Linked DNA regions of Oryctolagus cuniculus. The protein of the gene in region 6 interacts with the protein of the main gene of each other region in a pairwise test. Links are inferred from orthologs where the notes say so. Each region holds a gene or a part of one and is shown on either strand. Other genes may lie near its edges.

Region 1 (3,500 bases), on a different chromosome or scaffold from region 6:
ACAGAGGCGACATCCCGCCCGGGAACAGAGCCCCAGGGGGCTGCGGCCGAAGCCGCGCCCAGCGGTGGTTCTTCCCACGAGGGCCTCTGGGTCCTGCTCCCGCTGCCCGGGCGCCTGTGTCCCACGGTCCCACCGACCCGCGCTGTCTCCTCTGCTCTTCACCTCCTCCCCAGAGCCCGACGCTCCTGGGACTTGGTGGGCGCCCAGTGGACACTCCCTGGCTGGGCAAGGGAGCGTGGGGACGTCACCCATCACCATGGGGCACGCTGCCGTGTGGTGACTGCACGGAGCCGCGGACAGGTGTGGCGGCTCGGACGGAACCCAAGTGGGAACCCAAGCCCACCTGGCAGCTTTCTCGTGACCGCCTGGAGCCCCAGAGGGGGCGGTCGCCCGCACCAGGAACTGGGCAGCCCCAGGCCTCAGTCTGGGGCTGGTCTGTACACCCTCCTCACACCTACTGTGCCGGGACCACATGGCCAGGGAGAGGGGACCCCATCGTGCCGCTGCCTCGCGGGGAAAGGGAAGGAGCTTGGCTGCCCCCCACCCCCCCAGCAGGCCCTGGTGGGGGGCGGCCCGAGCCGTACCTGCAGGGGCGTGAAGGCCACACTGGAGGCTGTGCCTGAGGTGCGGTCACGGATGGTGGACTTCCCGCCGTACACCACGCTCTGCTTCTGCAGGGTCCGCTGTGGGTGGGAGGGCACGGGATGAAGGGGCAGCCCCGCCCCCGTCCCTCACCCCGCCCCCACCTGGGCCCCGCCCATACCTGCAGCGTCTTGGAGATCCTGGCTTTGGTAGCCTCGTTCACCTGCGTCTGCCGCACGCGCCCACTGCCCGACTTGCCCAGGTGGCCCAGGCTGAAGCCCAGGTCCTCCTGGTAGGCATCCTCCTCGATCTGGGGGGGGGGGTGCCCGCAGTCAGGTGGGGGCCCTCAGCACACAGCGCCCTCTCTCATGCTTGGGGGGAGAGGGTGCGAGGGCAGCACAGGTCTCAGCACTGGGGGCACTGAGCCCAGCCGCAGGACCAGAGGATGCTCAGAGCACAGGGGGCGGGTGTGGCTGAGCCTGGGAGGCCGGTAGGCCTGGGTCCTGGGAGCCTGGTGAGGGTGGGCAGCGGAAGGGGAGAGCCAGAGGGGCCCTGGGTGGGGGGGGCGGGGACGGGGCAGGACTGGGGGCCCTGGGTGAGGGGCGGGGCCCACCTCCCCGAAGCTCATGCGGTTGGCCTGCTTCCGGATCTCCGTGAGCCCCAGCCGCTCCTTCATCTTGCGGTACCTGGGAAGGCGGCGGGTCACGCGCGGGCAGAGAGCTCGGGCCTCTTCCTCTCGGAGGCCCCCGCCCGCGCCCCCCGGGTCTCTCACCTGCGGCCGCCTCGCTTCTTCCGCTGCCCATCGAGGGGCGCAGGCAGCGGCTTCACCTGCTTCACGGGGGGCGGCTCCTGCCACTTGTCGAACTTGCGCTCTATCTCGTCTTTCAGCTCGTAGCCCACCTGGGGGGGGACAGGGAGGCGGGGGCGGCTGCACCACGGGCCATCAGCCCGCAGCACCCGACGGCCTTGGCGGCTCTTGGGTGCCCTTTGAAGCTGCTGCTTGACCAAGCTCTCAGCCCCGGACAGTGGGTGGGCCGGTCGTCCAGCTCACACCCGCGATGCCTGCTGCTCTCCCGGCACCGCCCTCAGGTCCCGCAGGCCCCTGTTCAGCACCTCCAAGGTGCCAGGTCCTCCCGAGGGCACAGAAGGTGCCCCATCACCGCCTCACCCCCCGGGGGCTGGGGGGGCTCCAGCCTCAGGCCGCCTGCACTGACCGTCCCACCTGGAACTTCCCCCAGGGGCCCTGGGACTTGACGCTGACTGCACTCGGGTGCAGGGCAGAACTTCCTGGCCAGAGAAGCCCTCCCGCCGACCCCTCACACCCCAGATGCTGTTCTTCTTCTTGGCATTTGTGGGGCAAGTGTCACCTGGCTGCTGCCCCAGCCCCTACTGGAGTGGGAGCCCCAGAGGCGGGGCTTTGTGTGCGTGTGTGCAGGGGTGGCGGCTGGGCACCTGAACACTGCCGGGCTGGGAGCCGGCACACAGCAATGCCCAGGACGGCAGGTGCGGCTGCCGAGAGCACAGAGCCAGCAGGGCCCAGGTCCTGGCCCGGAACGGCTGACATCACAAGGCAAGAGGGGTGTGGCTGGGGTTGTGGGGTGGGGAGGGCGCCCTGGGGTCACGAGGTCCCTGACGGAGGGGGGGTCTGCAGGGGCTCCTGGCTGGCTCTGGAGACAGACAGGAGCTCCGAGCCAGGGAAGGGGTGTGTGTGCCCCGTCAGGGCAGTGCTCCTGGGCTGGGTCCCCAGAGCGAGCCTCACCTTCCCCTCCGTGCTCTCGTGGAAACTGTCCACGCGGGCTGCCAGCGTGCACTTGGCGGCCACCAGCCGGGCTGCTTTCCGCCGCAGATCCTAGAGCAACGGCAGGGGGACGCGGAGTCTGTGAGCCGGACAGATGGACAGAGACAGGGCTGCTCCTCCCCGAGGGGGCTTCACTCACACACACACACACACACACACGAGGACCTCTCTCTCTCTCTCTAACACACACACACACACACACACACACACGGCCCCTGCTCCCAACAGCCCCCTCCCATCGTGGGAAGGAGGCCAGGGCCGGAGGAGCCGTGTGCTGGGGTCGCTGTGGCTGAGGGCGGAGCCCAGAGGAGGACGCGGAGGTTCCCGGGGGAGCACCTGCAGCCTGTTCTCAACCCTGCTGTGCAGGTTCGCCCTGCACACGGACCCTCATCAGATGCTCGAGCACCAGGCTGCTGCAGTCAGCGCCCCCACTTGGCAGACGTGGAACCTGCAGCCGCACTGTGGCGTAGTGGGCTAAGGCTCTGGCTGCCGGTGGCGCCGGCATCCCGTATGGGTCTGGTTCGTGTCCCAGCTGCTCCGCTTCCGATCCAGCTCTCTGCTATGGCCTAGGAAAGCGGTGGAAGATGGCCCAAGTCCTTGGGCCTCTGCACCCACGTGGGAGACCCGGAAGAAGCTCCTGGCTCCCAGCTCTGGATCGGCACAGCTCTGGCCGTGGCAGCCATTTGGGGAGTGAACCAGTGGCTGAGAGATCTCTCTGACTGTAACTCTGCCTCTCAAGTAAATAAATAAAACCTTCTAAAAAACATGTGGACACTGAGGTTCCCGGCCACCAAGCGGGCCATGCTGTGGTGTCTTCGGCTTGTGCAGGAACTGAGCTGGAACAGCACGGGCGGGAGGGGCCCTCAGCCACAGGGCAGCAGCGTGGCCTGCGGAGGGCCTGGCTCTGGGCAGCAGTGCGCAGGTGGTGGGGGGCAGCGCCCGGGCTCCAGGGCCTGGGATTCTGGGCGGCCTGCTGGCACCCTGGGATCCGTTCCCGTCTGCTGCCTGCGGACTGGAGGACAGTGATGGGCGGGGCGAGGCACGCGGCCAGGAAACGCCGTCCACACGAGGGACGGGAGCCAGCACCGGGGACAGCCAGGCCATCTGTCCCGCAGCGGCT
Region 2 (3,500 bases), on a different chromosome or scaffold from region 6:
TCGGTAGTAAATCCGCACAGAGGCCACCTCCCGCCACTGGATCAGGACCTACAGGCAGGCGAGGAACTGAGGGGTCATCGGAACGTGTCCTGACTTCTGGGGACCCCCAGGCCCGCGACCGCAGCTCCTGAGGGGAGGAGCGGCTGAGGTGCCTGAGATCCACACAGCCACAGGACACAGCCCCAGGCCCCCCACAGCTAGCCCAGCACCGCAGGCGCTGAGACTTGTGGCAGAAGGGAATGAAGAAGTCATTACATGGGTATAATTCTGTTATTTAGCAAACAGAACATGCACGTATCTGCCCTGTTCCTATGAGAGAGTAAAATCACAGTAGCAAAACACTTAAAAAAAAATAAGTTGGCAGCCAGGGAGGCCTGTGGCCACTCCATACAGCCCTGAACTCCTTTCCCACCTACACGGCCTCCCCCTCTCTACGCCCTGAGGCTAAGCCAAGATTCCTGCTCTCCTTCCTCCTTACCAGGGCGGGGGTGCACAGCCTGGCCTCCAAGTCTGTCTGAAAACAGATGGGGCCTTGACCAGATGCAACTGTTCCCTCCCCCTTGGCTGCAGCTGTCAGGACCAGCGCCTGCCTTGCAGCCAGGGCTCCCACACACGTCTCCTAACGAGGCTGACTGGGGGAAGGGTCTGGCCTGGTGGTGAAGCCACAGACGCCCTCTCCCCATGTGACAGCACCTGGGTTCCAGTCCTGCCCTGCGCTCGCTGGCAGCTTCCTGCTAACGTGCACCCTGGGAAGCAGCAGTTGTTGGATTCCGGCCACCACACGGGAGACCTGAGTGCCTGGCTTCTGCCTGGCCCAGTCCTTGCCACTGTGGACATTGAGGGAGCGAGCCAGCGGATGGGAGCTCTGTCTCTGCTAGCTAAAAAGAGAGGTGAAGAAATACACGGGCAGGGGTTTGGCGCAGTAGTTAACATCCCGCCTGAGAACGCCTGGGTTCAAGTCCTGGCTCTGTTGCCAACTCCAGCTTATTACTAATTGCACCCTGGAGGCACTTGGGTCCTTGCCACCCAAATGGAGTTCCTAGCTCCCGGCTTTGACCAGGCCCAGAATTGGCTGTTGTGGGCATTTGGGGAGTAAACCAGCAGATGAACGATCTCTGTGTCTCTCTCTCTGCCTTTCAAATAAAACGAAAATAAATAAAATGTTTTAAATTTTCTAAATGCTCGGGCTCAGGGACTACTCTGTGCTCTGTCATTTGTTTCTGTCTGAAGGCGCTCTTTGTGGTCCATCATTTTCCTCCCACGGCCACCTCCTGCCAGCCCTCCCCACCCCCTGGGCACCAGTGCTACCACATGGCATCTCCTTGCTTCTACTCCAGTGGAACAAGGTGGTGATCTGGGGTCTCCTCCCACTGAAGATGACCAAGCACCTACCCCCTGGACACTGCGTGCTACCCAGAAAGCCTCTGTGGCCCAGAGCCTGTCCCAGCATCGTCTTTTGATGGAGGAGGAGGAGGGAAAGGAGACTAGAGCTCAGCGGTTCACAGTTTGTCCCCATGTGCAGAAAGTACTGGCTCAAGTAAGAAGCAGTTTATTGACTGTGTGCCGTGTTCTTGTTTCAGCAGATATGGATTTGTAATTCAGTAAAAACATGACATCCTTTTTTAAAAAGCAGTGATACTTAAAAAAAAAACTTTAATTTTACTTGTGAGAGACACAGAGAGAGAGACAGAGAGAGAGAGAGAACACTCCCATCTGAAGGTTCAACCCCTCCCCTCCAAAATGTTCACAGTCCCTGGGGCTAAGCCAGATCAAAAGCCGGGTGACAGGAACACAGTCCACGTCTCCCACGTGGGTGGCAGGGACCCAAGCACTTAGGCCACCATCACTGGCTTCCAGGGTGCATTAGCAGGAAGCTACAATCATGAGATGAGTCAAAACTTGAACTCATGGGGCCGGCGCTGCAGCACAGTAGGTTAAGCCTCTACCTGCAGTGCTGGCATCCTACATGGGTATAGGTTCAAGTCTCGGCTGCTCCACTTTCAATCCAGCTCCCTGCTGTGGCCTGGGAAAGCACTGGAAGATGGCCCAAGTGCTTGGGCCTCTGCACCTGCAAAGAAGGCCCAGAGGAAGCTCCTGGCTCCTGATCAGCCCAGCTCTGGCTATAGCAGCCATTTGGGGAGTGAACCAGTGGATTGAAGATCTCTCTGTCTCTCCTCTCTCCATCTCTAACTCTGCCTCTCAAATAAATAAATATTTAAAAAAAGAAAAAAAAGAAGTCTGGACCCCATGCCTCCAATACAGGACACAGGCATCTCAATGCCTGCCCCTGAACGAATTCTTATCAGAACCAGTACTTTCTACACATGTGGAATTCCTCATGCTTTGGGCCCCTTGTTCTGTCTGAATGTCTGGCACCACCCCCAACTCTTGCCAGGAAATAGTCGCCATACCCCCAGGGTGAGCAGCTTTGCCCTTAACCTCACCTTGGAACAGAGGGTCCTTCTGTAGTGAGCAGATGCTTGGGAAGTTTTCCTGGCTTCATCCACACAGGCCACGGTGTTCTGTCTCCAGTGGCGTAACACCCACCTGCAGGTGCACAGGCCTCAGCAGGGAGAAACAGGGGGACCCTCAGGAGTCATTCCTCCTCCCCGTTCTCCTGGGCTGGGGCTCTCTGCCTCGGGGGACCGGTCACACTGACACCAGGCTCACAGTGTGGCCACCCATGGTGCATTTGGAGAGCACCTGCTCAGTGCTGGGCACTGCTCCCTGTCCTCAGGAATTTCTGTGGGGCCAGAACCAGATGATGTCATCATAGGTGACTCACACTGCGATGATGAGAGAAGTTCGGGGGCCAGGGAAGCTGGAGGAAGGGCGTGTGTGCGTGCGTGCGTGCATGTGTGCGAGCCAGAGCGAGCTCAGGGAGCCCCTCTCCTCCTGCTGTCTGAAGTGCTGGACAGCTGCTTGGAGGGGCCCAAAGGAAGTATGGATGTGTTTAAAGCTAAGAGGCCCACCGCCTTCAGGCTGCCTGGAACAGCACGTGCTGAACCAACATGAAAGAAGGAAAACAAAGAGAGGCAGGAGCAAGGCCCACTGTGAAGGAGCACGTCCAGAGCTTAGAACTGGAGGATGGGCTTTGGGGAAGCTGCACGAGGCTGCCTGAGTGCCCTCCCCAGGGAGACGCAGGTGGCCCGTGATCTCTGCGGGGTGGAGCAGGCCAGGCAAGCAGCCTCGCAGGCTTTAGGGGAGCTGCTTTCTAAAGCCTCACTCTGCAGCCAGCAGACCAGGGCTTGCTGTGGCCAGGCCCGTTCATTCCTCAGCCTGAGCCCTGGGCAGGCTCGGGAGACTCACCGCAGCAGCTGCCTGTGGTGCCGCCTCTCCCTGGCTGTCACCTCCTGCAGGATGCTCCGCACCTGGTCCTGGTAAGTCTGTGGCGGACAAGGAGGGCTGGGGGCCGCCTCTGGGCCCAGCCTGCTCCTTGCTCCAGCCTTCTCCTTGCCTCAGTGGTATGGTTACAATAGGAAACGCCATGCCCAGAGCAT
Region 3 (4,243 bases), about 31 Mb from region 6:
CTGCTGGACCAGCACAACTGTCAATAAAATGACAGCTCAGGAGTGTCCTCTGGGGGAAAGAATAATACACCACTGCACTGTATGGTTTGGCTTTGAATCCTGAAGCTCTTCCTTCTCTCGGGCTGCCTGGGTTCCTGAAGAACGCTTGCCTTTGCCTCCCTCTCTTTTTATTCCCTCCCCCTTGTCTGCCCCTCCCTGTCCTGCTGGTTTTTTTTTTTGTTGTTGTTGTTTTTTTTCCTTTCCTCTCTCTTCCTTCTTTTCCTGGCTAGCAGATTCTGAGTTTTGGTTTGCCCCGACTCTGCTCAGTGACATGATAAGTCAGAATCATTTTCTACAGGGTCCCCAGAGACAGGAGCCAGCACTGACTTTTCCTTCTCTTGCAGCGTTTACTAAGGCAGACTGCTTGGAATTACTCATTTTTTCCCCAGCCAACCTCCAGATCTCCCTCCCGCCCATCAGGCGTTTTCAGAAGAAAACCTCATAGTCAGCGTGGTCGACCCAGCTGAAGGGACAGAGCCCAGGGAACAGACACTTCAGGGCAGCAGGAACAAATGTGACACCATCGGGCAGCTGAATTCACCTCTAAAGCAGCAGGAACCCGTGTCCCTAGGTTTTCCTCCTGTGTCGTATTTGCCTGTGTGTGCTGTCATCCAGAGCTTAGGACCCTGCTATTTCCTGCTCATTCATTTAGAATCCAAGTTGGGAAATACTAATTTGTGTCATTAAGGAGGAAAACCAGTCATGCTGATTTAAACACAATAGCTTACTACTTTTGCTGGAAGGTGACTAACTTATGCTGTCTCATCATCATCATCACCACCACCACTGTCAACATTGACGGAGCAGCTGCCATGGCCATCATGTTATTCAGGAGGTCACACATTAACAGTGGTGGTCGCTGACTTACAAATGAGGAGACAGATTTTCAGAGAATTTAAGTAAACTGAGAAAAGTCACCCAGGGAAAGAGAAACTCCAGTCTTTCCGCGGTATAGAAATCATTTGGTGAGCTTGTTAAAGGTAGAGTCCATTCAGTAGGTCTGTAACAAGCTCCCCACCTAGGCACAGGCTGCTTTTTTCCTTGGCTGCCTTTCAAGTGTAAGATATTTTAAATATTCAAACATACAGGACCCGACCAGCATACTCTCAAGCTGTAAAATTAAAAGTTTACTCCTCACCCCCTATACATGGCCTTATTTATAGGTTAATTCTTACACACTACTGGAAATGTAAAAGTACTTGAAATACATAAAGTTCCAGATTATCTTTTTTTTAGGGAAAAATACTGGGAAATTTTTATAAGCTTGTCCCTGTATTTCTGCAGTTAGAAATTATCCACCCTTCATTTTTCAATCTGGACAAGCGTTCGTAACTCCTTTTCAGCAATACGGTGAATCTTCAAGTTCACCGTTAGATGAGATGTTTTTTCTTTCCTAACTTTTCTCTAACTCCTGGCACAGCCATCGCGTGTTCTCAAACATCACACCTCTGCTATAGAACCACGCACCCTTCTCTGCCTCCGGTACTTTTACAAGAGGCAGCTGGAGCCCTTTTTCCCTGGAATGGAAGCCAGATAGAGGGTTTCTTCATTTCAAAAAAACAAAGTTGCAAAGTTCCTGCAGCCTGGCAGAACTGGAGAAGGGCAGGGGGCATCCTGCTGAGGACGCTCACCACCTGGAAGGCCTCTGTGACCACTCACACTTTTAAATCCTCACACTTTTAAAATGCGGCAAGTAACCAGACACAGATCAGGGACATTTAGAACCAGGGCATTTCAGAACTTTCCAAAGTCGCCCCTGGAAGATGGGGATATTGGGTGCCACAGGAAGCTCTTGGGAGCTCCTTAAAGAAGCAGTAGTCTTCCCCAGTGGCCTTGGGGGACAAGTCCTCTCTACTCCACAGGGCAAGCCACTCCCCCACCTCTACCCCAAAGAAGCCCAAAGAAGCTCTGAGCATCACCTCATCCTGTCCAAGATCATGCTGCTTTGTTACTAAAGCCAGAAGTCTGAACAGCACTTCTAGAGTGTGGCCTGAGGCATCTCTGTGAACCCTGAGCCCCCTGGCCACACTGATCATGGGGTCTGGGCAGGTCAGCCTGGACTTCTAACACCAAAGCTCGCCTCAGCCTGCTCAGGCTCCAGGTGTCCGGCTCACCCCGGCTCTCGTTCACACCCTGTGTGCATCGGATGCACACATAGATCTCTGCATTCTATGTAGACAGTAAATTCAAAGGACCGGAAAGCTTTGCGATAAAGCAGAAATAGCATCGGAAGAATCTTGGGAACCTGTCCTAACCACTGACACTTGCAGCTTTAACTGACTGCACACTGAAATGCGGAGAATCCCCCCAGCGAGCCGTGCCTGGTGCCTTTTGAAGGTTTATTCCTCTTTCCACTTTGTGCCCATAGGAACCAAACGCCCCTGGGCATCGCTTCATGCACATCTGCTCCCGAATGCAGAATTTCTTCGGGATACAACCAGCCTTCTTTCTGCACGCCCTCTCTTTTCAGAAGGGAGAGGAAAGCTCCCGGGCTCTCTTGAAAGCAAGCACATGGCTTAGGATACTCCGTTAAGTTCTCAGGACTTTTCTGAAAGCCTCGAATGCATGAATTAAATATGCAGCTGCCCATCACAAAGCCCGGTGGGCAGTCAAGAGTCCTCCCCCAGAACTTTGAAAGAGCAAGGCAAAGATCCTTACCTTCCCCAGCCAGCAGCGGACTGAGACAGCTGCCAGCCCAAACAGCAACTCAGCGAGGGGGATGCAAATCACCGCGCTAGGGACCGTGAGCAAAGTACTCAACAAAGCTTAACCACAATTAAGGGACCGGAGACAATTTACTGAGAGGAAATCCTTCCAAAGCTGCCGAATTTTGCCCTTTTCCTCCGTGAGAAAGTGACCTACATTTTTTTTAAAGAATACCAGGTTCGAAAAGATGCCCTCCTTTGTTTTTTTCTCTCTTTATACCCATATTTACGTATTCATTTTCAAACTTTTCCCTAGGCAAAGCCTGCATTCTGACGCTAACCTTTTATAATACCATGAACTTGCTGAAAATAAGGTTTGAGATCTTAGTTCTCCAGTTCTCAAGGGGTGTGGGGGGTTGAGAGTTGAATACAAATTAGTCTCTTTCACCATGAAGTGCAAGTAATAGGCGTACAAAGAAGATGGGATTTGTGGTGGAGACCCTTTCCCTGGCTTTAGGGGGAAGGGTGGTTTATCAGTGGTGATCAGAGGATGCCAAGGTGCCAGGGCGATGATGATGCACTAGAAAAATCACATCTCTGAGGAACTGAGGCTGCCTTTCACCAAAGTTGTCACAAAGCAGGACCAGGAGTGCTCACTGTTCCAGGGAGAATTCCCACCCCCAAATGTGAAAAATCGCACTTTGCCTTGGAGACAAGCTGAGTGACAAAGCTTCTGAGGTGACCTGAGCAGGGAGTAGGGGGAGTGTCAGCGGCGAGGGGGGTGAGGACCATGACAAAGAGACCCTTTGGCCCATTTCCCTTCAGGAGAAGCCGGGGAGAGGGTGGGCTGTAGGTCGGGAAGACGGACTTGGTGATTTTGCTGTTGAATACCCGCTGCTGGCGATCCGGGGAGCTCCCCTCTGGGAGCACAGTGGCTTGGCGAAGAGCGCCCGCATGTGCGTTTGATTACTTGCTCGCTCATGTTTACTTTCAGTTTGGTTTTGCGTGGTGTGCCTGCCTTGGCGCACTGCCAGCAGCCTTGAAGATGCCAGTTCCTCCCGGGACTCTGTCCAATCCCTGCACACCTTTGATCTGGGTCATCACCCAGTCCAATTGGATTCCATGCGATTTGGGAAGCTGGCCAGTTTTCCTCCTTTCTAATGCTTCTTTTAAGGGTGTGTCTGCATGGAAATTCTGAAATCAGGGAGTTTCTGGAAGGTGATCTTGCATGTGTGCTCATTTTGGGTAATAGGTCATGGCATTCTTTCTCTCTCTCTTTCTCCCTCACTTTCCCTCTCTCTCTTCCTCCCCTCCCCCCACAAAGAACTTTCCTTTGAGGTATTAACAAAGATATGCTAGTACCAAGAGAAGCAATGGGTGTGCCTTAGGTGTAGATATGTATTTTACTATTTGCTAGTCCATTTCCTGGTTTGAGAGCCTCGTAAGATCCAGGGAGCTACAGAAAGGAAAGCATACCCATTTCAGATGCTCATCCCAATCCCCACTGTCTTACCCATTTTGTTCTGAGTAGTTATGGAAGATCATATAGACAGTTAAAA
Region 4 (4,042 bases), on a different chromosome or scaffold from region 6:
GCCGCAGCCCGGGCTCCTGTCTCGGGGGCTCCCCGCCCGACTATTCCTGTGTCCCCCGACCTCTTTCCCTAGCACCCGCTTCGCGTCTCTGCTCTTGGAACCCCTGCCTCCAGTTTCCACCTGCTGTGCCCCTTCCTCCCCAGCCTCTGCCCCGGGGCTGGGGGACTCACCATGTCTGCAGGCTGGTGATGGGCCGGGGCACCAGGCTGCTGCCTTCAGGAAGTGCCTGTGGCTTCTGCTCCCCAGGCCAGCACACAAGGTGGGGAGGGCAGAGGAAGAAGGAAAGGAGGCGGAGACGGCCCCGCCCGGCCTGTCCCCAGCCACCCTGACCTCCTTGCTCAGTGCATGGAATCAGCACATTCATATCACAGTCCTCTTTATTTTCATTTTTACTTTAAAAGCAGAATGACAGAGAGACAGGGATCTTTCATTCACCTGTTCACTCTCCAAATGCAAGCAACAGCCAGGCCAAAGCCAGGAGCCAGGAACTCCATCCGGGTCTCCCATGGGAGTGGCAGAGACCCAGGTACTTCCCAGGGTGTGCATTAGCAGGGAGCTGGAATTGGGAGCAGAGCTGGGACTCGAACCCAGGCACTGCCACGGGGGATGCGGGCCCAAATGCCCGATTCTGTTTTACATTTTTAATTGGCACATGATTGCACATATCTGTGGGGTAGTACGTGGTGTCTCAATCCACGTGTGCAATGTGCGATGATCAGGTCAGGGTAACTGGCATGTCCGCCAACTGGAACGTTCTGTCCCTGGTCTTTCTGCTGCCTCCTTGCTTCCAGTGGGAGCTCCTGGGGACTTGCTGCCCCCAGGCCAGCTGAGGCCGGAAGGCCAGGGGTCGGGGCATCCAGTGAGGAGGGGGATGGTCCCTGTATGATGGGTGAGGCCTCAGCTGCCTGCTCGTCTTGCCTAATACACCTTCCTCTTTTCAACACATCTTTGCAAGCCAAGAACTTCCCTGTTCTTGGGACAGATTTGCTGGGCTGGCGGCTGGGGGACCGCAGATTTAGGGGTGTGTGTTGGGGGTGGGGCGGGGCCATGATGTCCAAGAACTCGCCCATGGGGGAGCAGGGACATTCCAAGTTCCCTGAGATGGAAGGTAATGCAGAAGGAAGGATCCAGAAGGCAGTAATTGGGAGGAAAGCAAGGTAGGACGGCCCCTGGGAGGCTGGAGGAACCTGGGCCCTGTCCCGGGGAGGAAGGCTGGAAAGCACCCTCCTGGATCCTGTGTGGTCATGCGTGGAAATCGCCTGCGCAGCTTAGGAAACAGCAGAACTTCCAGTTTCTGGTCTGGGGCGGGGCCTGGACCGGGGTTGTTAGAAACCGCATTGGGAGATTGCAGTGCGCAGCTAAACAGCCACTCGGGGGCCCGTGGCTGGGTCACAGTTCCCAGATGTGGGTTCCCCTGGGAACTGGATTCTCAGGAGGTCTGGTAATGGTCAGGAGCATACAGTAGGCGCTCAGTGATGGCAGGCTAAACGCCTGACTGCCAGCTGACTCCCCAGGATCCATGTGGACGCCCCCAGCACAGAGCAGCGCAGTTTGGATGCCCAGGAAGCAGGCATGGAGCCCTGCGCCGTCTGCAGGGGCGGCCGCCAGCCGCCAGGGGGCGCGTCCACCACATTCCCCTTTGTGTTTTTGGTGCCTTTACGCGGAGCCGCAGAACCAGAAGCTGGAAGAACTGAGCTTGGGCCAGGGTCCGCCTTGGGGGAGTGGGAGTCCTCAGCGCGCCGCTGTGGGAATCTGCGGCGTGGGAGGGCTGAGCACGAGAAGTCGGGAGCCCGGGATGCGGGTGCTCGGGCCAGGATCCGCGGTCAGGGTAACCCGCTGGTGTGGGCACTGCCGGCTGCTGCACGGGCATCTGGCCGTGCCTCAACCCAGGCCAAAACGCCTGCTGCGGCTCACCGTGGTCAGTGGGAGCCTCCGATCTCGGGCCCACTTGCTTCTGCACCTGCGCAGGTGGGCGCCTGACAGGTCGCCAGACTCACGGGTTCGCCCCTCAGACACTCCCGGGCGCCCCCTGCCGGGCGGAACTCAAACCCCACTTAGGAGGACTCTGCTTCGGGTCCTGATGCTCTCGGAGCCCCTCTCTGACAAAGGTCACAGCTTTGTCCAGAGGGAGGGTTGGGGGGCGCGGGACTGCAGGGGACCGGGGGGCATTCAGGCTTGCAGGGGAGCAGGCAGAGGTCCGGCATGAGCGGGGAGGGGTAAGGACAGGGCAGCCAGGCCCTGACCCGGTGCAGTGCCATAGGGGAAAGACGCTCTGGGTTGCGGTAACAGGATGACCCCAGTGTGACTTCTCAAAATGGATGGGGTAGAGGTGGACTCAGACCGGGCGTCCATGAAGCGGGAGCCCAGGCAGCAAGGAGGGTCGCCTGGGACCCCAGCACTGCAGACAGCCCCCACCCCCACGGATGCCCCAGAAATGTTAAAATATTAATTTCTTTGGAAGGCAGAGAGATCGAGTGGGGGGGAGAGAAGAGCTATGCCCCATCTGGGGGTTCGCACTTCCCAAATGCCTGCAGTTCCTGAAGCCAGGAACGGGGAACTCCATCTAGGTCTCCCTTGTGGGTGGTGGGGACCCGAGCAGGTGAGCTCGGACTGCCTCCCGGGAGCTGCGGTGAGCAGCAGAGCTGGGACCCAGACACTCCTACAAGGGAGGTGGGGAACTTCACTGCTTTGCCAAATGCCGGTTCCCCACTCCCAACAACTTGAGAATTCGACCCCACCCAGGGATAGGGTGGCAGTGCACTGGAGACCTGGGTCCCAGGTCCCAGGACAGAGGCGACAGGGAACATGCGACATGGCTTGGCTGAGGGACAGGCCCTGTTTCTGTGCGACCGGCGTGAGCTGATGGGGGGGGGGGAGCTCTTGGGCTGCTGGGCTTTGGCCCCGTGTGCACTAGAGGGCAAGGGACCCAGACACAGCACAGGCTGGCTTATCGCGCCTCTTTTATTGTCCCCCACCTCAAATCACAAAACTCTTCAACTCCGCCGCCCGCCCCCCATCTCAGCCCGGATCAAAGAGGCGAGAAGACTGGCAGCTCCCCCTCTGACAGCAGCGGCGACGCACTGGGTGCAAGCGGGGCCGGGTCTGGGGTGGGGGGGAAAGGGGAGAAGGAAGCGCGTGAGCCTCGGCTTCGCCTCACCCCTGTGCCCCCCGCCCTCTGCAGCGGCGCTGTCCCCTGGCCTTACCCGCTGAGGCGTCGGGGCGCGGCCCGGACGCCTGGGCCGCGGGGGCGCCAGGGCGGTGGTCCTCCAGGTGCAGGGTCATGGCAGACCGCGAGGCCGTGGAGAAGGCGCACTGCATGCATGAGTAGCGGCCGCGCGTGTGCTCCCACACGATGCGGCCCGGAGCCGCGTGCCCTGCGGGCAGGCAGGCGGGACCCTATCAGTCCCGCGACCCTAGCCCGGGGGCGGCGGACGCGGGCGGCGGCTTGGACTTTTCCTCGCTTCCCCATCAGCTCCCGTGCGCAGGCGGCCAGGCCTAGCTGGATCCGTTTCTCCCGCCCGTCATCACCGCCGTAAACTCGGCTTATCCGCGGCCCCTGCGCCCACGAACCCTCGCAGGTGGGGAAAGGAGCGCTCCACGGTGATTGGGCGGGCGCGAGTTTCACACGGGAACGCCGGCGCAGAGGAAGGCGCAGGTGCCAGTGGTTTTTAAGGCAAAATCCTGTATTTCGGGGTGGCATTTTTTAGCCACCTGGGAACGGGACGGGCACAGATGCCTGCCAGTTTGCACTGCCCCTGCAGGGCGCAGGAAGGAAAGCCCCGCCAACCCTCCCTGGTGGTCACCTGCACGCACCTGAGGGCGCATCGGAGCCGCCCTGGGGTCTTCGGGGGCTGCCGCCAGCACCTGCGATAAAGGGGCGGGTCAGGTCCAGTCAGGGGGAGTCCAGCCCGCCGCTCCCTGCAGGAGGCCGCGCCCCCGACACTCACCTTGGCTCTTTTTCCAGACGGCAGCGCTGGAGGCCGGTGGCCCGGGCGCCGCAGCCAGGAAGGGGCGCAGGCGTGGGGGGCTTAGGCCGAAGGGC
Region 5 (4,173 bases), on a different chromosome or scaffold from region 6:
ACGCGGAGCAATTACCCGACCGAACGGACATAACTGCCCAAAGCCCTCTCTCCCGGGCCCTGGGTGCCCAGAGTCCATCTCCAAACCCCGAGGCCCGTGAGCGCGTGCTCAGTCTGTGTTGCGTGAATCACACGATGCATGGGTTAAGGAGGGCGGGAAGACGAGGCAGGGGATGGAGGCAAAGCGGCCTGTGTGGACAAACAGTTCACAGAGAGATGGGTGAGGGAGTGGCTGACTGGATGCCATCAGTGGGTGGGCGGGCCGACGGATGGCCGACGGTGGTTGGGTTGTCAGAAAGACTGGTGGACACAGGGTGGGAATGAAGAGGCGAAGGCGGGGAGGACGGCCGGGGGCTCCCGGAGAGCTGGCTCCTGCCGGCTCCCCGCCCTCCCCGCTCTTTCTCCGCACCTGGTGGCCTCCTGTCGCTTGTGGAAGGTGCGATTGGGGAGGCTGGCAGACGGGAACGTCTCGTCATCTCCCAGCACGTGTGCCTTCCCGCTGCGGTCAGAGGCCTGGACGGGGGTCTGGAGAGCTTTCCAGGGCTGCCTCTGGGGGCCTGGTTCGGTGGGGCCAGATCAGGGCCCACCCTCGTCCCGGCCCGCGGGGGCCAGCCCAGCCCCAGCCCAGCCCCAGGGCTCAGCCCCGCGCTCGCTCACCGCAGTCCAGGTTCTGCTGCAGCTGCCTACGCAGCATCTCCAGGTCCCAGGGCCCCTCCAGCTCCCGGGCCTTCCGCCTCCTCCTCTGGGCCCCGGGGAGGTGGCCGGAGCTGGGGCTGCTCCTGCGGCTCTGGCTCCAGCTCTGCGGGTCCCCAGGGTGCTGCCCCTTTGTCAGGGGCCCGGCCCTCCTCCTGTGGGGGGCCCCGAGCTCCTCGTCCTCGTCCTCCTCCGTCATTTCTGAGCACTGGTCCTCCTCGGAGAGCAGCCCCTTGCGGGGCAGCTGGGGCAGCTGGCGGGGGCTCAGGTCCCTCTCGGGCTCCTCCTCGGCGCCCATGGCCTCCCCCTCCCACTCCAGCGCGGGTCCTGCCGGCTTCCCCGTCGGCCAGAGGGCACGCTCGCTGGGCACCTCCAGCCCTGGGTTCTCCCCTCTGCCCTGAGGCGAGGGGCTCCAGGCCCCCAGCTGCTGCTGCCTCCTCTCAGGGCTTTGCACCTCCATCTTCTGGCAGAAGCCCAGGGCGTCCGGGAGGCTGGCCACGGACCCGCGCCGGGACCTGAGCTGGGGGAAGGGCGGGGCGTGGGGGCCGGGGGCCGAGGGGCCGCTGGGCTGGGACCCCGCGGAGGCACTTGTAATGAAGCTCTCCCAGGCCCACTGGAAGGGGAAGGAAGGTTTCCGGGGAGCAGCGAAGACACTGAAGAGGGAGAGGGCGGGGCGGGGGTCGGGTCAGGGTCGGGTCCGGGTCCGAGCCACGCCCACCCGCCAGCCCCCCTCCAGCCCGCCCCTGCCCCTTACTCCTCGGCCTCCGCGCAGCTCTGGGCTTTCTTGCTCCTCCGCCGGGGCCTGTGGTCCTTCTTGGACGTCTGCCTCGCGCTCTGAGACCTCTGCAGCAGGCTGCGAACCGGGGCGCCCTCGCCGCTCCTGGGGTTCCCCTGGACCAAGACGGGGTGGGGAGAGGGGAGGCCACCTCTACACATCCCTGGAGTCCTTCTCCTCCCCTGCACACCCTGACTGGGCCCCTCTGAGACCCATCACCACTCTCAAGTCTTCCTATTGAACTAGCAATGGCTGGGGCTGGGGCGCAGTGGGTTAAACCCCTGCCTTGCAGCGCCGGCATCCCATAGGAGCGCCAGTTCATGTCCCGGCTGCTCCTCTTCCCATCCAGCTCTCCGCTAATGGGAAAGCAGTGGGCGATGACTCAAGTCTTTGGGCCCCTGCACCCATGTGGGAGACCTGGAAGAAGCTCCTGGCTCCTGGCTTCAGATCGGCGCAGCTCTGAACACTGTGGCCATCTGGGGAGTGAACCAGTGGATGGGAGACCTCTTTCTGTGTCTCTACCTTTCTCTGTCACTCTGTCTCTCAAATAAATAAAATAAATCTTTGAAAAAAATAGCAACGGCTGCCATTGATGAGGCTCCTGCCACCTGCTCGGGCCTTTCTCGCAGAACGCATCTAACCACGCCCGGGACCCAGGTCTCACCGTGAGCACACATGGCTGGGAAGCCGTGGAGCCGGGACCCAGCCCCGTGCCATCTGTCCCCAGCCAGGAGGAGTTCACGAGTCCCCAAGGCAGAGGGATGAGGACCGTTTAAGGGGTGGGTGTGCCGATGCCCAGGTGTGCCCCAGAAACACGCCCAATTATTCCATCTCAGTTAAAACTGAAAAATCAGTGAACAAACTGAGAGAATGAACACTAAATAAGCAATAAAGACCTCGTCAGATGAAGCAGTGTAACGAGTGGACAGCTCTTCTGACGTCCCGTCCGATCCCGGAAACCTGTCTCTCCTGCGGGGTCCATGTCCCCTGGATCACACCGTCACCCCGAAGTCACCCTGTGCCCCTCCTCCACCCCCTCATACCCCTCCCCTGGGGCCTCAGTCCAGTCCTGGCCCCTGAGCCCAGTGCCCGCCTGCCTCTGGGCAGTTGGAAGTCCCCCCCCACGGGGCCCCTCACCTGCTCTGCCTGGGGGATGCTGGACAGAAGGTCAAGCAGCCTCGTGGCCGTCCCTGGAGCCTGAGACCGAGGGTCCTGGCCCGGTCTCCCGGGTGAGGGCCTGGCCAGCTGTGGGTGGGTGTGGAGCATGTTGGTGTCCTGTCCCGTCCCCACCCCCACGTCCACCACAGCGTGGAACTGTCCTTCCGGCCATCTCCACGGCAACCGCTCCCAGCCCGTCTCAAGCGCTCTGGCTAAAGGGACCTCAGGGAGGGGTCCTCCAGGGTAGGTGAGGACCACGGCCAGCCAGGGGACAGTTCAGCTGGACGCTGAGGAGCGACCCAGGCCTGGAGGCCCACAGGACCAGTGCCACAGCCCGCCGCCGCCACGGACCCTGTGTGAGCGGCTCTCCTGCCGTAGCCTCGGCCTGTGTTTCCCCGTCCATCCGCAAAAGGGACCCCAGGACTGGGTCACTCTGGAGGCCCAGGCAGGCTGCAGGGAGGAGGCCTTGGGAGGAATTTCGGCCCCGAAATCTGACCCCAGCCTTCTCGGCAGTGCCGAGCAAAGCCCTGGGATGTGAACCCCCACAAGGCCCCCGCGCCGCCCCCCGGGAGCGGCCTTGCAGGCTCTGTGACTGCTGCTCCTGCACCTGGGCCGTGGGCCCGGCTCAGAGGTCTGCTGCGCGATCACAGGGCGAGGCTTGGGAAAGCGGGCTGCACGGCGGTGAGGACAGCGGCCAGGCGCTGTGGCGCAGGGGGCTGGCAGGTTGCCTGAGACGCTCCCATCACCTGAGCGTCTGCTGGGTTCCCGTCCCAGCTCCACCTCCAATCCAGCTCCCTGCTGGTCTGCGGCTGGAGGCAGCCGCGATGGCTCCGGGACTTGGCCCCTGCCACCCACACGGGAGACCTGGCTCCTGACTTCAGCCTGGCTCAAGCCCAGCTGTTGCGGGCATCTGGGGAGTGGACTAGTGGATGGAAGACCTCTCTGTCCCTCTGCCTTTCAAATAAATAAAACAAAAAATTTTTAAAGATTTACTTATTTATTCGAAAGTCAGAGTTACAGAGAGAGAGAGAGAGAGGTCCTCCATCCGATGGTTCACTCCCCAATTGGCCGCAACGGTAGAGCTGCACTGATGAAGCCAGGAGCCAGGAGCTTCCTCCAGGTCTCCCATGCAGGTGCAGGGACCCAAGGACTTGGGCCATCTTCTACTGCTGTCCCAGGCCATCGCAGAGAGCTGGATGGGAAGAGGAGCAGCAGGGTCTTGAACCGGTGTCCATATGGGATGCCGGCACTGCAGGCCAGGGCGTTAACCTGCTGCGCCACAGCGCCAACCCCTAAAACAAATCTTTAAAAAAAGAGTTGCTAGTACTAATTAGCCAGGGCGTGGCCCCGTGAGAGGGGACCCTGGTCACTGCCGCCCTCGACTGCTCTCATTCCGTCCTGCACCACATCCACCGCGGGACACCCGTTCACTGGCCCTGGCTGTGCTGCAGACGAAGATCATCACCCGGATGCACCAAGTCCGCTCTTTGCGGGGCCAGCCATGCCCCCTGCCGTCTGTCTCCGCCGAATGTCACCCACGGGGGCTCT
Region 6 (4,213 bases):
CCCTGGACTTCCGCTGCTCTGCTCGGCCTGCGCAGCCAGCACTGGGGGCCGCCGTCCAGGCTGACGCGGGTTGAGAGACATCAGAACTGGACCTCACTGGGAACAGGGTGGTTGCAGATGGGACTGGCAGGGGTGAGGTGGCACTGGAGCAGCAGGGAGGAGGCTGTGGGGAGCACGGCCCTGTGGGCACCGCCGCCCATCCATGCCCAGAGGGACAGGCCTGCTGGGAAGCAGCCCCGAGACCCCGCACCGGAGTCCTGCTGATGCCGGATTGACGCCGGGAGCCTCCAGCGGGGAGGGAGGTGCAGGGGGCGCCAGGTGGGGCCAGGAGGGGCGCAGGGGGCATGGCCCTGCACACAGCCCCCCTACGGGGCTTGTGCGATTCCCCAGCCTCAGACCTGCCCTGGCGTTGTCCCCTGAGGTTCCCGGAGTGACTGTGGCTGCAGCCCAGGGCGGTGCCGTCGTCAGCCACGCGCCTGGCGCCTGAATAACAGCTCTTTTCTCTCCCGTTGCCCGAGGCCAGGGTGCCGGCAGGCTGGCTCCTCCTCTCCTGCCCCGTCCTCGCCGGCCTCGCCTCTGCACATGCCGCCTCCCAAGAGGACGTCTGCCCTAACGGAGCAGGGACCTCGTCTGCACACGCGGTCGAGTTCGCGGCTTGGGGAACAGGGTCAGACCCGACATGGGGTCTGTGCACCCCGCTGTGGGTGCCAGGATGCAAAACTAGCAGCCCCGAGCCCCTCCGCCGGCGCCCAGCACGGGCTGCTCCCCTCAACCTCCCTGGCCAGGCCTGGAGCAGGTCCAGGGGCCACTCAAACCCAGCCCTGCCCTGTGCTGCGAGGACAGGGAACCTCCAGGCCAGGGCCAGGCCTGTGTCCTCAGAGACCGAGAGCCCTGAGGAGGACGGGCCAGGAGCTGGGCGGCTGCGGGCAGAAGCCCCGGGTGCGACTCCAGGGATGGGTGTGTGTGTGCGTGTGTGTGCAGAGGAGCAGGGGCTGCGGACCCCCACCTGAAGCCTGACAGGGGCGTGGCCCAGGCGGGGTCCCGGTACTGTCCACAGGCCCCAGTGCGGCAGCGCTGGCCGAGGCGTGCCCATCTGACGCCGGCAGAAGCCGGGGTGCCCGACGGGGCAGGCGGGCCTGGGCTGGTCCCCGCAGTCTCGCCAGGGACCCAGCCCGGCGCCAGCCCCGGCACGAAACGCAGCCTGGACGTGCGGGCGCAGACCTACTGGGTGCCTTGGGGACCATGGCCCTGCTAGGGGAGAGCCCCGTCGCCTCCGGTGCGTGAGGACGCGTGTCTGGGGGCGGAGTGGGCCTCAGGCCCGCCCTGGACCCCCGCGGGCAATCGCGCGCTCGGGGAACGCCCACCCCCACGGACCCCCTCGGCGCCTGCGCACAGGAGGGGCGGAGGCGGGAAGAGGCCGGAACGCGGCGCCCGGGCTCCCGTTTCCGGCCGGCGGGACCCCAGAGGCGCACCGAGGGCGCCCGGACCGCGGGCGGCGGACTCGGTCGCTATGGCAACGCGGCGGGGCTGGGCGTCGCCCGGGGCCGGCGTTCCCGGTGAGGCGCGGGCGGTGGTCGCGGGGCGGCGCCGCGGGTGGGGGGCGCGGGCGCCGCGGAGGCCTGTGGGCGCCCGCGCTGCGGGTCCTGAGGGCTGCTGGCCGGCGGGCGGGGTCGGGTCGGACCCAGGCGGTGCGGCGGACCCAGGCGGTGCGGCCCAGTGTGGGGCTGACAGGGGAGCGGCGGGGGCGCTGCGGCCCCCGCTGCCGTCTGCTCGGATCCCCCCGGTGCCCGCCCACCTGTTCGCGCCGGAGCGCCGCGCTCTCCTCGCCCCGGCCTCGGCCCCTCGGTGGAATCCCCGCCCCAGGGCGTGTCCGACGTCTGTCCCGGTTCCGCTCAAGTCGGGCCGTTGTGTCTAGGGTTGGTAAATATTTGAAAGGCAGAGGTGCAGGGGGTGGGGGAGGGAGGGAGAGAGAGGGGGGATGGGGGAGAGAGCGAGAGCGCGCGAGAGCGAGAGCGCGCTTCCATCGGCTGGGTCACTCCCCAGATGTCCCCAGCGGGGGCTGGGCCAGGCCGAAGCCGGGAACCTGGACCCCGTGCGGGTCTGCACACGGGGGCGGGGCCGGGAACCTGGGCGCCCTCGCTGCCCTCCCGGCACGCGCGGGGAGCTGGATCGGAGGTGGCGCAGCGGGGCTGGGACCGGGCCCCCAGGTACCCCGGGGACACCCGCGGCTTGAGCCCGGGTCACGTGTGTCCCTCTGGGACTTCGTGGGAGACGCTTAGACTGTGCAGGTGTTCTCGCGTCACCGCGGAGTCCTTGCTCCCAGCCCTGCGCCCCTGCCTCGCTTTCCTGCGGGCTCATTGACCATCCAGCTGTGTGCCTACGGCGCTCACCCTGAGCCCGTGCGAGCCCGCGCGTGTGCTGTGCAGGCCTGCTGCCCGCTGGCCCAGCGAGGCCTGTCCGCCGTGTTCCGGTGGGAGGCACTGCGAGAGCCTCCGACCTCGGCCTGGTTTCTGTTTATCTTCCGGTGTGCAGCCAGGGATTTCCCAGAGGCGCTCTAGTGGTTGTTATGGTGGCCTCGCTGGTCTCCGTCTGGTTTGGTTTTGGCACACGGAGCATCTGTGTGGGTCCAAAAGTGGCCGAGTCTGAGCGCGAAGCTCCGTGACCATGGCTTCTCCTGCATTTGATTCCCCACGTTCTAACCTTTTGGCAGGGGTGGGGGATGTCGTTTCAGAGAAAATAACCCCTCCCCGTGGCGCCAGCGCGCACCTCCGTCCGCTGCCGCCTCCTGCCCCAGGTTTAGAAACCGTGTGGCCACTCTGACAGCAAAGGGAGGGAAAGGAGGCTTGGGCTCCAGGCCAGTAACTTGTCTCCTGGACCCACGTCCGCGCAGCCAGTGTTGAGCTCCAGAGCGCAGGGGTCACTGTGCCCTCCCGCACAGGGGGCGCGCCCCTGCACCGCCCGCAGGTCCCACAGGCCGAGGGTTTGCTGCAGCTGCGGGGCAGACGGGAGGCAGCACGCCCTGCCCGGAGCGGCTGGGCCGGTCACAGCGCTGGGGCGCATCTTACTGGTGGCTGAGCGGCAGGCCAGTGCGGCAGAGCTGCAGTGCCCCAGAGGAAGAGCTGGGCTGGCGGTGCCGCGGGGAAGCCGCCCGGGCTGCCTGCGTCCCACACCCGAGTGGGGTGCAGTCCTGTCCCCCACACCCAAGTGGGGGTGGAGTCCTGTCCCCCAACCCGAGTGGGGGTGGAGTCCTGCCTGCCACACCCGAGTGGGGGTGCAGTCCTGTCCCCCACACCCGAGTAGGGGTGGAGTCCTGCCTCCCACACCCGAGTGGGGGTGGAGTCCGGTCCCCCACGCCCGAGTGGGGTGCAGTCCTGTCCCCCACACCCGAGTGGGGGTGGAGTCCGGTCCCCCACACCCGAGTGGGGGTGCAGTCCTGTCCCCCAACCCGAGTGGGGTGGAGTCCTGTCCCCCAACCCGAGTGGGGGTGGAGTCCTGTCCCCCACGCCCGAGTGGGGGTGGAGTCCTGTCCCCCACGCCCGAGTGGGGGTGGAGTCCGGTCCCCCACGCCCGAGTGGGGGTGGAGTCCTGCCCCCCACACCCGAGTAGGGGTGGAGTCCTGTCCCCCACGCCCGAGTGGGGGTGGAGTCCTGTCCCCCACACCCGAGTGGGGGTGGAGTCCTGCCCCCCACACCCGAGTAGGGGTGGAGTCCGGTCCCCCACGCCCGAGTGGGGTGCAGTCCTGTCCCCCACGCCCGAGTGGAGGTGGAGTCCGGTCCCCCACACCCGAGTGGGGTGCAGTCCTGTCCCCCACGCCCGAGTGGAGGTGGAGTCCGGTCCCCCACACCCGAGTGGGGGTGGAGTCCTGTCCCCCAACCCGAGTGGGGTGGAGTCTGGTCCCCCACGCCCGAGTGGGGGTGGAGTCTGGTCCCCCACGCCCGAGTGGGGGTGGAGTCCTGTCCCCCAACCCGAGTGGGGGTGGGGTCCTGCCTTCGTTTCCGTCCAGCCTCTTGCTGACGTGCTTCCTGGAGGCAGCCAGTGATGGTTCAAGTCCTCGGGTTCCGGGTTCCTGCCTCCCTTGTGGGAAACCTGGGTAGAGTTTTTGGCTCCCGGCTTCTGCTGTCTCAGCCCTGGCTGGTGCAGCCATCTGGAGAGTGAACCAGTGCACGGAAGCTCTTTCTCTTTCCCTGTCACTCTGCTTTTCAGCTAAGTAAAA
Region 7 (4,193 bases), on a different chromosome or scaffold from region 6:
TGAACTTGTGTCCCCCGGTGCCTGGCTTCCGGAAAAATCAAGCCCTTGTGAGAGCCACTCCTGCGATTCCAAGCCAGGAAGGCTGGCAGGGCAGGAACTTGGACTTTTGCAGGGTGCTAATGGCCGGCGCTGGCAGGAAGGAACAGATCCGAGATGTCACTCACCAGAGAGACATGGAATTTATCAGGGCTTCCTTCTGCCAGACAAGGGCCCAAGTGTAACTGCAAAGGCTGGGATGGGCTGGGGGCGGGGCAGGGGGGAGCGTGTGGATTCTGAGTTCATGGGAAACTGCAGGGTAGGCCCGCTGTCCACCCCCACTTCTCCTTCCACCCACTCTTTGCTAGTTCTCCTTCTCACTGCTATCAGATGGTTACCATCTCCCAGCAAAGCCAAGAGTGGGGTGGGGGTGGGCACTGAGCTCCTCTTTAACTCCCTCCTCAAGGGTGGGAGGTACAAGGACCCCTCTGCCTATATCCCAGCTCCGAGAGGCAGAAAAACAAGATCCCCCTTCTCCTCTCCCCCCTTCCCGGGCCCCGGCCCTGGTTAATTTAACACCAGTCCTTGCCCCTCCATCCCACACCCTCCCAGGAGCCCCGCGGTTTGGCGAAACCCTTTTAAGAAGCAGGACTTCTGAATGGTGACCTCACCCCTTGGCGAACACACACAGTAGCCTTCAGAGCTGGCCTGCGGGGGCCGGCCAGGTGTATGATGTAGGCCAACAAAAAGGCGTGCTCAGAGCCACAGGTAACAGCCCCTCGGAGCACCTGCGCTGCAGGGAGGCTGCCTGGAAGCCTCCTAAGGAAGGAGGGGGGAGGGGGACAGCTTGGTGGGGGGAGACCAGCCAGCCAGCAGCTCTGGCAACCACAGGGACAGTCGGCTGCGTCTTCCCTGGGATCTGTTGATGGCAGCAGCTCGCCCGGGCCTCCCTCCCCGTGCACACACAAACACCACTTGACTCTGAGCACCAGAGGGAGAGCGCACTCTTCCCCCATTGCAACAGCCTGTTTCTGTTCCATTCCAGGCGGCACCGGGAACCTCGCCCCCCACCCCTCTCTCCCAGCCTGAAGTCAAACATGCAGAGGGAGAGGGTCTTCTGGGGAGCCCCGGATGCCTGCTCCCATAGCAGCTGGGCAGGGCTGGGGTGAACCAACTCATCCCCGTGTCCCGGTGCCCAGCGCTGTGCCACACTGGCACAGCCCACAGAGAGGGACGCTGCCGGGGACAGCTCTATCCTTGGGGTCCATCCTTGGCTGTGTGACCTTGGGCAAGTCGCTGGCCCTCTCTGGGCCTCAGTTTCCGCACCTGTATCCCTGGGTTACAGGCATCTCTCCCCCTAGTAATGCCCGATCTTAGCCGAGTGGCTCCCAGCGGCAGTCTGGGAGGCCTGAGCCCGCAGTTCGCGGAAGGCAGCCGAGGGGAGCTGGGGAGTGCTTACCTGACCCGGCGCAGGACGCGGCGAGCAGCAGGCAGAGCAGCGGCCCGAGGCGGCCGGGGGCCGGGCCGGCGGGCTCCATGGGCCGCGGCTGCGGAGCGAGGAGGGAGAGCGGCCGTGAGTGCGCGCTCGGGCGGGCGCAGGCTGGAGCGGGGAAATGACTAAGGCTCCCCCCCCTCCTCTCCCCGCCCGGCCGGGCTCCCCCCCCTTTCCCCGGAACGGGCGCCCGGAGCGGCTTAGGAGCCCCCGGCGCCGCCACGGTTTTCGGAGGAGCCACCCCTCCGCCCCCCAGGAAAGCTCGGCAGACGGGGAGGGGCAGAGACCCCGAGAGCGCCAGAAGCGAAGGCAGGAACGGCCAGGGAGAGCGGCAGGAGCGAGAAGCAGACCCAAGGGAGCCAGGCAGAGAGCCAGAGACAGAGAGAGGCGCGAGAGGGGGAGAAAGCGAGCGAGCGAGCGAGCGAGCGAGGGAGAGCGCGCGGGGCGGCGCAGAGCGAGACAGACAGCGCGGGAGAGAGGACGCGAGCGCAGGGCGCGGGGCAGCGGCCGAACCCGCCGCGCGGGGCCGCCCCCGCCACGGCCCACCCGCCCCGCCCGGGCTCCTCGCGGCGCCGGCGGCTAGCTCGCTCCCGGCCCGCAGTCCCGGCCGCTGCCCCCGCCCTCCCGGCAGCCCGGCCCCCTCCCGCCCGCGCTCCCCGCCTCCCTCCCGCCCCGCCAGGCTGCGGGGCTCCGGCCCCGCCGGCACCTTCTCTGCGATCGCCCGCCCGCGCCCCCGCCAGCGGCGCGCCCCAGGGGAGGGAGCGAGGGCTGCGCGCCGCGAGCCCGGCCCGGGAAGGCAGCGGCGGCCCCCGCGCCGCGCCGCGCCGCGCAGGGGGCCCCAACACCCCCGCGCGGGGCACGGCTGCAGCCCCCGGCGCAGCCCGCGGGGCTCGGGACCGCACGAGCAGCCGCCGATGCGGGCCAGGGGGGAAGCCCGCGCGCTCGCCCCCCGCCCCGGAGCGCCCGCCTCGGAGCGCCTCCCACTCCCACCAGCCTGTACCTCCGCCGCGCGCGGAGCTGGAAGGCCGGGAGGCGCAGCTGGAGGCTGCCCGGAGGCCGAGCCCGGGCTGCACTTTGCGCAAACTTGTTTTCCTAAGGTCTGCGCCGCGAGCTGGCTACATGGTCCTCTTAAGGTGGACTGGGGAAGTTGCAACCGCCCGCCCCTGCTCCGGACTCCGGCCACGGTGGGTCCCGGCTTCCCGCTGGCGAGAGACTGCAGGCGGCGGTGGAGGGGGCAGTGGCGGGGCCGGGGACGTGTTTGCGGTCTCGCCCTGCCCAGGCGGCCCTGCCCCTGTGCCCCAAAGCTGAAGACCCCACTTGGGGATGAGGGTGGGGGTGGGCCGGGGGACCTGAGTCTTTCGGAGCCCGGCCGAGGTGGAGAAAAAGCAGGAAGTAAGTGAGGGTAGGGGGAAGGGGAGAGGAGAGAGAGAGATGATGGTACAAAAATAGCGTGTGAGTAGGAAGGACTCCAGTGCCGCCTGGAAGAGAGGCGCAGGAGAGGGAGGAGAGGGGCAGGAAGGGAGAGGGGGCCGGTCCGGGCCCCTTCCCGGGAGGTGGGTTCCTTCTGAGCAGGTGCTCTGGGTCCAGGAGGGCAGAATCAGGGAGGGGAAGGCCCGGGCAGGGAGGACCTGGAGGCCTGGGCTCCAGAAAAGTCAGGGAATGGTGGGGGGAGGGGGGGGGCAGACGCAGCCTCTTTCCCGCGGAGAAAGCTCCCGTGCCCTGGGGAGTGCAGGTCCGGCCAGGCTGCTAGGGCATCTGGTGGAAGGGGGCCAGCACCAGGTTGGAAGGGAGCACAAGGCCCTCTGCTATTTGGAGGGTCTCTGAGCTGGCCATCAGCTTGGGCACAGCCAGCTTCCTTTCACACGGGGGCAGTGGCGAGGAAGTGAATGAACCAAGTCTCGGAGGGAGGCCTGGCTCTGTGTGGACAGAGCAGAGGGAGCTGAGGCCCAGAGAGGGCATATGCTTGCCGCAGGCTACACAGCAAGGCCTGGGGTAGAAGCAAGGCTCTCAGGCCCAGACCTTTGCAGTGGTCTCCCTCCCGCAGTCTGGCCTGCTGGTCAAATCCTGATCCTGATTGAAGACAGGTGCAGTTGTTGGGACCACGGGGCAGGCTCCCTGGGTTGAAGGCCTCTGGCCACCTCTCAGGAGCTAGCCCTGGCCTCATCCTTGGGGTGCCCCAGCTTCATCATCAGGAGGGAAACCCACGCGAGTGAGAACCCAGAAAGTCCACAGCGAGGCTCAGACGAAAGGACATGCTGGTGCCACCCGAGCAAGCATGACGCGAGCACGTGATAAACGCCCAACACGTTTGACGACCATCCCAGCGACCCCACTGGGCCGTACAAGGGAATGTTCATTTCTTTGGGAGTGGGAGATGACAGCAGCAGCCCTCACACAGGCCCCTGCGGCCCGGGAACTTCCATTCGAGAAGGGAGATGGACAAGTAGGCGAGTAGAAATAACTAAGGAACACCAGAAGATTGAGATCAGAGCGTGAGAAGAGATGAGCTCATTTAGGTAAGGGGCGCCAGGTAAGCCCCCCGCCCCCAAGAAACTGGGAGCTGAATCGCAACGAGATATTCCAGGAAGACTGAGGGACACCACAGATAAAGGCCCCCCAACCCAGGCTGGCTCCGTGGGGTTGGGCGATAAAGGGTGGTAGATGGTGGTCTCGCTGGTGGGCCTTGATGGCCCAGGTAAAGAACCTGTGTTTAGGTTCAGCCCCT

The links.
Region 1: the proteins of CCDC57 (region 6) and PRPF31 interact in binary tests that used the Homo sapiens proteins (3 or more experiments, as listed by UniProt). The two-hybrid records come from large-scale screens. The link is inferred for Oryctolagus cuniculus from reciprocal best matches to the Homo sapiens genes CCDC57 and PRPF31.
Region 2: the proteins of CCDC57 (region 6) and SFI1 interact in a two-hybrid assay, tested with the Homo sapiens proteins (2 studies listed by BioGRID). The two-hybrid records come from large-scale screens. The link is inferred for Oryctolagus cuniculus from reciprocal best matches to the Homo sapiens genes CCDC57 and SFI1.
Region 3: the proteins of CCDC57 (region 6) and TMEM100 interact in binary tests that used the Homo sapiens proteins (3 or more experiments, as listed by UniProt). The two-hybrid records come from large-scale screens. The link is inferred for Oryctolagus cuniculus from reciprocal best matches to the Homo sapiens genes CCDC57 and TMEM100.
Region 4: the proteins of CCDC57 (region 6) and PRAM1 interact in binary tests that used the Homo sapiens proteins (3 or more experiments, as listed by UniProt). The two-hybrid records come from large-scale screens. The link is inferred for Oryctolagus cuniculus from reciprocal best matches to the Homo sapiens genes CCDC57 and PRAM1.
Region 5: the proteins of CCDC57 (region 6) and TSGA10IP interact in binary tests that used the Homo sapiens proteins (3 or more experiments, as listed by UniProt). The two-hybrid records come from large-scale screens. The link is inferred for Oryctolagus cuniculus from reciprocal best matches to the Homo sapiens genes CCDC57 and TSGA10IP.
Region 7: the proteins of CCDC57 (region 6) and tyrosine-protein phosphatase non-receptor type substrate 1 interact in a two-hybrid assay, tested with the Homo sapiens proteins (2 studies listed by BioGRID). The two-hybrid records come from large-scale screens. The link is inferred for Oryctolagus cuniculus from reciprocal best matches to the Homo sapiens genes CCDC57 and SIRPA.

The regions. Positions count from the first base shown.
Region 1 is NC_091449.1:4,557,696-4,561,195, forward strand, and holds part of PRPF31 (U4/U6 small nuclear ribonucleoprotein Prp31), read right to left. Parts: intron 2,432-3,500; coding exon 2,342-2,431; intron 1,483-2,341; coding exon 1,355-1,482; intron 1,269-1,354; coding exon 1,196-1,268; intron 893-1,195; coding exon 764-892; intron 684-763; coding exon 585-683; intron 1-584. UniProt on the Homo sapiens protein: Involved in pre-mRNA splicing as component of the spliceosome. Required for the assembly of the U4/U5/U6 tri-snRNP complex, one of the building blocks of the spliceosome.
Region 2 is NC_091452.1:24,698,068-24,701,567, reverse strand, and holds part of SFI1 (protein SFI1 homolog), read right to left. Parts: intron 3,387-3,500; coding exon 3,310-3,386; intron 2,548-3,309; coding exon 2,445-2,547; intron 49-2,444; coding exon 1-48. UniProt on the Homo sapiens protein: Plays a role in the dynamic structure of centrosome-associated contractile fibers via its interaction with CETN2.
Region 3 is NC_091448.1:31,403,550-31,407,792, forward strand, and holds the start of TMEM100 (transmembrane protein 100), read right to left. Parts: upstream 2,801-4,243; 5' UTR 2,698-2,800; intron 825-2,697; exon of another isoform or gene 581-824; intron 558-580; exon of another isoform or gene 478-557; intron 144-477; exon of another isoform or gene 50-143; 5' UTR 1-49. UniProt on the Homo sapiens protein: Plays a role during embryonic arterial endothelium differentiation and vascular morphogenesis through the ACVRL1 receptor-dependent signaling pathway upon stimulation by bone morphogenetic proteins, such as GDF2/BMP9 and BMP10.
Region 4 is NW_027208201.1:4,532,389-4,536,430, forward strand, and holds the start of PRAM1 (PML-RARA-regulated adapter molecule 1), read right to left. Parts: upstream 2,801-4,042; 5' UTR 174-2,800; coding exon 171-173; intron 1-170. Other genes in the region: ZNF414 (zinc finger protein 414), read right to left, coding at 3,029-3,102, 3,204-3,374, 3,814-3,864, 3,948-4,042. UniProt on the Homo sapiens protein: May be involved in myeloid differentiation. May be involved in integrin signaling in neutrophils. Binds to PtdIns(4)P.
Region 5 is NC_091432.1:5,831,756-5,835,928, forward strand, and holds the start of TSGA10IP (testis-specific protein 10-interacting protein), read right to left. Parts: upstream 2,801-4,173; 5' UTR 2,734-2,800; coding exon 2,605-2,733; intron 1,584-2,604; coding exon 1,447-1,583; intron 1,346-1,446; coding exon 657-1,345; intron 557-656; coding exon 409-556; intron 1-408.
Region 6 is NC_091448.1:791,103-795,315, forward strand, and holds the start of CCDC57 (coiled-coil domain-containing protein 57), read left to right. Parts: upstream 1-1,413; 5' UTR 1,414-1,510; coding exon 1,511-1,556; intron 1,557-1,594; exon of another isoform or gene 1,595-1,916; intron 1,917-4,213. UniProt on the Homo sapiens protein: Pleiotropic regulator of centriole duplication, mitosis, and ciliogenesis. Critical interface between centrosome and microtubule-mediated cellular processes. Centriole duplication protein required for recruitment of CEP63, CEP152, and PLK4 to the centrosome.
Region 7 is NC_091442.1:27,586,426-27,590,618, reverse strand, and holds the start of tyrosine-protein phosphatase non-receptor type substrate 1, read right to left. Parts: upstream 2,801-4,193; 5' UTR 2,469-2,800; intron 2,064-2,468; exon of another isoform or gene 1,524-2,063; 5' UTR 1,515-1,523; coding exon 1,436-1,514; intron 1-1,435. UniProt on the Homo sapiens protein: Immunoglobulin-like cell surface receptor for CD47. Acts as docking protein and induces translocation of PTPN6, PTPN11 and other binding partners from the cytosol to the plasma membrane.